Linked DNA regions of Drosophila melanogaster. The protein of the gene in region 2 interacts with the protein of the main gene of each other region in a pairwise test. Each region holds a gene or a part of one and is shown on either strand. Other genes may lie near its edges.

The links.
Region 1: the proteins of CG9689 (region 2) and CG14424 interact in a two-hybrid assay, tested with the Drosophila melanogaster proteins (one large-scale study listed by BioGRID).

The regions. Positions count from the first base shown.
Region 1 is NC_004354.4:2,925,074-2,929,031, forward strand, and holds CG14424 (uncharacterized protein), read right to left. Parts: upstream 2,186-3,958; 5' UTR 2,097-2,185; coding exon 2,036-2,096; intron 1,707-2,035; coding exon 976-1,706; 3' UTR 811-975; downstream 1-810.
Region 2 is NC_004354.4:9,879,771-9,884,286, reverse strand, and holds CG9689 (uncharacterized protein), read right to left. Parts: upstream 2,335-4,516; 5' UTR 2,260-2,334; coding exon 1,738-2,259; 3' UTR 1,535-1,737; intron 1,472-1,534; 3' UTR 617-1,471; downstream 1-616. Other genes in the region: CG9686 (uncharacterized protein), read right to left, coding at 3,849-4,337.

The DNA.
Region 1 (3,958 bases), 7.0 Mb from region 2:
CCAGTTGTTTCATATGAAAATTAATTGTGGATCGAATATCGCTCTTATTAGATTTCTAATTTTGTAAACCAAACTATGGGATTTCATAGTTGTTCATAGTATGTTCTAGTTTCCTATTTCCGGCAGATTTAGTTCATTTTTGGCATATGTTTAAGGACATTCTCTATTCGTGGTTTCACATTAGAATGGCAGGTTAACGTGTCCCATCTTTGTGGCGCTTTTGTTGTGCGGCTGCCTTTCTTTGCGCCTCGTGTGCCGTTGACTTTTGCGCCTAAGCAAAATTTGTGCCATGTGTTTTGTGGCCGCTTTGTTTGTTGGCTCAAAATTGCTGGCAGGCTGCCACACGAGGACTCTTTGGGACTGCGATTTGGACTGGGATCGGGACACCGAAACCGAAACTGAGACTGAGACTGAAACTGAGGATGGGGATGAGGATAAAGTCGAGGACGAGGCCGAGTACGAAACGAGACACAGACAGGACTTGTCACGTCAGCGGCACAAAGCCCGAGCACAAAGGCCTGATAACTGCAGTCGCCTGATAAGCAGCGCCCCAAACAAGGATCTGCCCATCTACTTGGCGACACTCGAAAAAGGGGTGGATATTTAAATGTTTATAAACATAAAACTTAGATTAATTGAACCTTTTAAAACCAGTGCTTTTTGTTGTAATAAATTGGTTGGTTTACCATTGAGACAACTTTTTTCTTTTTAAAGGTTCTTCTTTGACCCCCAATTTATCCAAGTGTGGCCTTTTTACCCCAGGGCCCACTGAAGACCCTTCGCCACCCGGAAGCACAAGTCCCTTCTTTTGTCATTTCGCTCATAACGTTAATTTATATTCAGTTCAGTCTAAAAAAAAAATGTAGAATAGCCAGTGGTAGTGTAAGTACACCTAGTACAGTGAAGCCCGTGTGACAGCCATCGAGAGAAGGAATGTGGAAGTTTGGATAGGTTGCTTGTTTAAATTAAAGGATCCTAGTTGTAGAACTGCTGGCGACGGCGCTGTGCCGGAGCGGCGGCCACAAAGCGACGTCCCGAGTTTCCGGCGGAGGAGGAGCCCTCGTTGGCGGAGTACAGAAGCAGGGGTATCTCCTCCACGCTGGTCTGCTGCTGCTGGGCAGAGTTGCGCACGCCGGAGCGGAGCAGCTCGTCGGCGGATAGGCGGCGCAGGGCGGCGGGAGCGACGGCTACAGGAGCGGCGACTGGAGCGGCTCCGTCTAACAGCTGATCCTCATCGTTCTCTGGCTGCTCCAGTACCACATCCTCGGGCTGGGCTACGGCAATGCTGTTGCCCACGGGGGCCTCGCCTTCATTGTCGGCAGCCGAGATCGAGCTGCTCTGCAGCAGAGCCTCGATGTTCTCCAGGTTGGACAGACCGTTGATCTGCAGCTGGTCGTGCAGCTCGGCAGGAATGGCGATGGCCTGGACATCCTTGTGACCGGAAATTCCATTGGGTGTCGGGATGAACTGAACGTTCTCGGGAATCTGATCGGTGGGATAGACGGGCACCAGCTCGGCCTCGTTCTCGTTGCTTGACTTCAGCAGGATCAGAGAGATGGGCACGATCTTCTTGAACTTAAGCAGAACCAGCTTCTTAATGGCCACGGCACCGGGGAAGACTCGTCCCTGGGGACCACTGTGGGGCTTCGCTATGAGGGCACGCTGCTCAAAATGCTGCCTGCGATGGTGTCCGCTCACATGGCGGGCTAATGGGATACAAAGACATGGGGTTAGGAAATAGGGTTGGCAGAAATGGTTTAAATTCGCCCTGACGAACTAGTTTAGCTTTTAATATCATCGTATATTAGGAACACATATTAAAAAAAAGTCAATGCACTTCAACAAAAGTCTGTCATTATTAACAAAGAACTATGAAAATTGCTTGTTTCTCAAAAACTATGAAAGCAATTTATTAATTAATAACCGTCACTTAATTATGATTTCGAAGAGAATGTATGATACTGATGGATATTGGAAAAGCGAACATAATTCATCAAAGATTATTTTTCGTCTCCTAAATCACCAACCAACTCACCTTCGCACGCGGCAAAGATTGCCAGTCCGATGGTCAAAAGGGCTACCAACTTAATTGCCATAATGATGTATATATGGGATCTTCTTGTGAACTTGGATTTGATGTGGACTTGGACTTGGACTTGGGCTTGGGTCTGTCGCTGGACGAGGGCCTCTATTAAATGGTCCATCAAGTGCCCGGCAAAGACATTTTATACAGGGAAGGAACATTCACCTGGCCGGCGAAAAGCAGGCAAAACAGCGTAGACACATAAAAATCACACGAAAAACAAAAGAAATTAGGTGGCCAGGCAGCAGAACAAAGTAAAATGTAGCGAAATTGGTGGGGACTTGGACGATTGGCAAATTATTAAACTATGCAAATGTCCGTCGACTGATTTATGCACAAAAACCAGTAATAGAAAACCCAAAAAGCAGAGAACCCAAAAACTCCTAACATCCCAGAGATCGCAGAACGTTGACTTCTGGTGGCTACATTTCCATTTCCAGTTGCATTTGACTCTTTACCAAAATCGAGAAATTTGCATTTTGGGTCGCCTGGAGAAATACGGAAAAATACAAAAACCGTCTGGCGAATTCTTGAGCCAATTTTGAGGTCAAAAGTGAGATTTTCAATAAGTCAAACCGTTTCCATTTGTCAATGTCCGAAGTGGGCGAGGTCTCACTGTTCTTCCCCGCAGATGTCAGAGTTCGAGGCTTATTTGGGCCACATTCATTTGCCTGCCTGTCTGCCATATAGCCATATACAAAGATATTCTTTGGCCAGCCAGCATGTGTTCCCCATTCGGATCGAGGAACGAGCATTTAAATCAATCAAGTGGATCGAGTCCATAGTGCGAAATTTATTCTTTTCTCCGCCATTCTCTGCATTGAAAGCAGGCTCAACTTAGTGCCAGAGATTAAGTGGCTAATCTATCGAACTATTAGTGATAAGCTGCGCGAAATAATGGCATGACGGATTATGGTTTTATGGAATTTATGAGTGTCTGCTCTCTTTTTTGTGTTCTTCTATTGTTGGCTAATTTAAATCAATAATCTTCCTTTTGTTTAGGACCTATGCAAAATTAAAGCTATTTTGAAAATAGCATTTAAAATGCGCCTAAAAATTGGCTGTAAAAGTGTAAATGTATTGGCCAAAAGAGTTTTGCTATAGAGAACTTTAAATTTAAATCACAGTCCGCCTGCAAAATAATGCAAGATCGTAAGAAACAACTATCTGAATTAAAATAAATTGCAATTGCTTTTGCATTTTCCTTCAAATATTACCATTATTTTCGGCTTGCAAAACAATTGTAAAGAACAATAATTTTCACAGAGCGGGTACATCGAGCTATTCCCGATATTAAATGTTAATTGAATGCCTTCAATAGTGGCTGAAATTGGAGACCAATCGATTTCCTCAGCCCTACTCAATTCCGAATTTGGGCCACTGACCACGGGTGGTATGATTAATTTATGTGCTGTATTTTTTTCGAACTCCATGTTTTTTTTGCCAGCCTCTCCGATGGTTTATCTAATTTATGTTATTGCCGCGGCAATTATTTAAATTTTCCACAGCTACCGTTGGCAGTTCTTTCTAATGACAAGGGCGGACTGGGGGAAAAAAAAAGGAAAACATATTTGCCGCCCATTATGGGCGACATAAACAAATGTTTTAATAACCAAATTATGCGAAAAAGAACGCAATGTATTCATAAGCTCGAAGAGCTGGGCGAGCAAAAGAGATCCCAGCCAAGTTATTTGATGCTAATGGAAATGCATAAAAAGATCGTAAATACTCATTAGCAAAGTGTGTGGTTTCTAGCTATGTATATGGCAAAGAAAGTTGCCCCCATGGCGGGGTCAGCACATCTCACCCAATCATTTGCGGGGTCAACATATTTTGGAAAGTTACTGTTGTAGGGAAAGTTCTATTTTTGGAGCG
Region 2 (4,516 bases):
TTGTAATGTAAGCTTTACTGCACTGCGAGAAAGTAGATAGATGTTTTTAAAGGCCCTGAAAAGATCAACTATATAATGTTTATCTTAAAACATAAAAAATTAAAAAAAAATCTATAGTGTTTTCTTAGCTTGTTAAAATGAATTTCATTACTTTGAGCTTCGAACGTTTTTTGTCTATTTATTAGAATATTTATATCTATGATTATTAAATAATAGTCTTAATCAACAAAAAAACTTGCGATTAACGGGTAATTATTATAAATAATTCATAAAGCTTGTTTTGAATTCAATTAAAAAAAATTGTTGCAATTTTAATTTAAATTTATAGAAAATTATTGATGAATAACGTGAATGATATGTTTATTTCAATTTATTCGCTTACATTCTGGCTTTCTGTGTGAAAAGTGTGCTCCATTAAATGTTTACTTATTGTTTATACAAATTTTACGCGAAATTGATGGATAATCAACTTAAATGAACAAAGCTACGGAAGCGTTTTTATATATCAAACAACTATCAAATGTTGTCAACCAACGCTCAATTTAATATTATTTGCACCCCAATTTACTTTCCCATGTTACAGATAAGTTGTGAAAGAAAAACAATCATTTCATTTCAGATATAGATAATTATAAGATCATTATTTCTTTATTCACGCTACAAAAAAATATTTGCTTATAATATATCTGACTACAGTTGCAATTTATACTGTGAGTCCGTTAGCGCTGTGAAATTTATTCTTTGTGGTGTTAGGCCTTTAAAGTGCATTGTTTTGTTTTTATAATAATTTAAAAAATATATATTATTTCTTGTGCTTGTAGAGCTCGAATTACTCATTTGGGTGTCCCATTCTTTTGACCCGAATTCCGACTTCTTTGGGGGGCACATGGCGGCCTGGGACGTGTGGGGTATACCCAATTGTAGCAGCAGCCGCGATGATCCCTTGCAGAGCATATAAATCCCGACCAGACCATCCCCTGGATAATTGGCAATGACAGGGAGATGATGACGATGATTATCAGTAGTCCGCTGGTGCCCAGAAGCTGCATCTTTCCCGACGACTGGCAATTAGCAATTGAAGCCCATCCAGTGAGATCGGCCCAATGAGACTCCTGTCGCTGGGATGATTCACTGATTCACTGATCCGTTGAGACCAAAACCGGCTCACAAGTTATGCCGGAGTTGCAGGGCTTCAGTTAGCAGGCTGTTTGTTTATTTTTGGCCAATAACCACAGTGGCAAGAAAAGTCCAGAAGAGAAAGTCGGGAAAGAATCACAATCAAGTGAAGTGAGTCACCAAAGCGGAGGAAGCGGTTCATTAAGAACTTAAACCCAATTGGCTCTGTAGTCACAACAAGTTTTTGGGTTCCAGTTATGCTAAATTCAAGATTTCTTTTGTAAACACCGGACTTGAACTACAAACACATTGACCCTTTAGATTTGATCTATTTAAATCATTTCGAAAGTGAATTCTGCAAACAAAAAGATGTATTAGAAATAATAATATATGAAATGTGTTGTATACTTGAACTTACCCATATGTATACCAGTTGCAATGATGAATCAGCAAACGAGTTCGTACATTTTACATTTGATATTTTACAAAATAGATTATATAAAAATATATTAAATTAAATGCTGTAAATTCATAAATAGGAAAGGCTCATCGAATAAAGAGCAACATAATTTATTAATTAGTATACATATATATTAGCATAGTGCTTAACTAAGTGCTTCACTAATTCTTCTCTGGAATGTAGTCCACCTCATTGGCATGATCCTCCAGCCAGTCCAAGTGAACTGGCGGCGCAGAAGTGGTTAGTTCCTCCTTAAGATCGTTTTTGGAGGAACTCGAAGCCTCCGATGTGGAAGGGGTGGTCGTGGTGGTGACCTCCTCCGGTTCCTTCTGCTCATCCTTATCCTTTTCCTTATCCTTTTCGAATTTAACCGGTGAGGCGAGCACATTGACCAGTTTATTTATGCGCTGGAAGAGCGATATGGTGGCATCCCTGGCCTTCTCCTCCAAGATCTTGGCCTCCTTCTCGATATTGGCTATCCAGGGCTTGGCCTTCTCCAGAGTGCATTGCAGGCTGTGGACGAATTTGTTGACCTCACTGGTACTGGGAGTGGTCACCGAATCACCATCCTCTGCAGACTTAGCCTCCGATCCGCAGACAATGGAGGCTGCCTGCATTTGACCACAACTGGCAAAGAGGCACAGGCTGGCCAAAAAGACGGCGATGGTCAATGAATTAGTCATCGCAATTGTGGATCTCGAATCTCAAATCTTGAATATCGTGTATCGCCTCTGAGGCCCCACAATCGACTGAAACCCGTTTGCAGCCGCAGTCGTAGCCACTTGACCAAGTTCTTGGGTATCTTGTGGCTTTTGGGCTGCGCCATTGGGTTTTCGAGCTACGAAGCTCGGCGAGAAAGTCGTCGGGCAACAGAAATGCATTTTCGGCGAGCGAAGAGAGAGGCCTAGAAAAAATGAGACTTGGGAAATGTAAAAGGCGGGAGGTAGCGGAGAGCCGGAGAATTCTCCAGAATGTAATAGAGAAAAAATGGGAAAAGAGAAATATTTACGGCTACTTATTGCAATTGTAAAGGTGACTAATCCATCAAGTTCAACTTACACACGGCATCTCAACTAAACTTTTAAAAGAACACCCGGTTTAATGCAGCTGGACCATTGTTTTCGTTGTTATGGTGAAAAAGCGAATGCCTCAATGGTGGGACATCAGAAAACGACTATTGGAAAAAATTCGATACTAACGCTTTTTTGTCGTTTAAATAGCTAATAGCCAAAGAATAAACTGATTTACAAATGGTATTTTCGTAATAACTTGGCTGAAAATGCTCATAAAGATGAAAGAATATGTAAATAACTGATTATTTGATGACCAAAACTCGGAAACACGGCTTTTGCCAAAAACTTGATATATACAAACGGAATTTTCGTCATAACTTGGCTAAAAATGCTCATATATATGTAAGAATAACTGTTTTGAGCAGCTAATTACCAGTGCTAACGATCCCTATCACTTTTTGAAGAATTTAGGAAAATTAATTTTTCGGCCAATTTTTGCATTTTTTGTAAGGGGTAACATCATCAAAATTTGCAAAAAATGGCAAAAAAATTTTATTTCCATATTTAAACGCAGTTTGATTGGAAATTTAATTACGAGCACAATGATATATGGCATTCCATATTCAGACAATTATTTTTAAAGTTATGGCAAAAAAACTGTTTCTGAAGACCGAAATTCGGAAAAACGGATTTTGCCAAGAAGTTGATATTTACAAACGGAATTTTCGTCATAACTAGGCTAAAAATGCTCATATAGATGTAAGAATAACTGTTTTGAGCAGCTAATTACCAGTGCTAACGATAAATATCACTTTTTGAAGAATTTAGGAAAATTAATTTTTGGGTCAATTTTCTCATTTTTTGTAAGGGGTAACATCATCAAAATTTGCATAAAATGGAAAAAAATTTGAATATCATTTTTTTAATACAGTTTGATTGGAAATTTAATGACGAACTCAACGAGGTATTTAGTTCCACATTTGGACTATTATTTTTTTAGTTATAGCCCAAAAACTTATCAAATATCTCAGAAAATTAAATTTCGATTGGGTATTGCATTAATTACTCAACGCAATATGGCACAACTTATTTGGAGTATTATTTCCAATACTTTGTTTAAAACACTAAAAATTCACATACCAAGAAATAGGGACTTTTCCACATTTGTATTTTTACTGTCCATTTTTATTTACACATAAAAAAAAAAAACTCATAAAAAAACTTAAGTGTTAACGGGAGGGGGTAGGACTCTTTGGGGACTATTTCCTCAATTTGCTGCAGTTGCCCAAGGCATCCAGAATGTGTCCATGCCCACACTGCTGCTCGCCCTTGAGGATGTCCGGATTGATAATCTCCACGTTGGCCAGAAAGCCGCGATCCTTGCTCATCTCCTCGGCGGAATCCTTGGCCAGCTTGTCGCGGAAGTCATCGAAGCGATCCTTGAGATCGCTACCCAGGACCTTGGCCTTCTCGCCCAGCTTCTGGGCGCCCTCTTTGAGTTCCGTGCCCAAGTCCTTGGCCTTCTCGCCCAGCTTCTTGGCTCCCTCCTTGATGTGGCATCCCACGTTCTTGAAGAAGTCGCGCACCTCGTGCTCCGAACTGCTACTGCTGCCCGTAATCTCCGATATCTTATCGCTCACATCTCCAAGTCCGGGTATCTTGTCCTCGCAATCGAAGAGACCCGCCTGACTTTGAAGAAAAACTCCGGCGAGCAGCAGGAGGACCAGCGATCCTTGCAAGCTATTCATCTTGATATATTCGGTTCCTTTGGCTTTATCCACAAAAACCAGACTGAACGTTGACTCCACTGATACTGGACTGACCTGGGGCGCTTCGATTTCCACCCATTTTATTCGTATCGCCGTCGCCTTTGTGTGTCACTTGCTTCGCATTTTCTTTAATTCAATTGGCGAACGGCAACAATCAT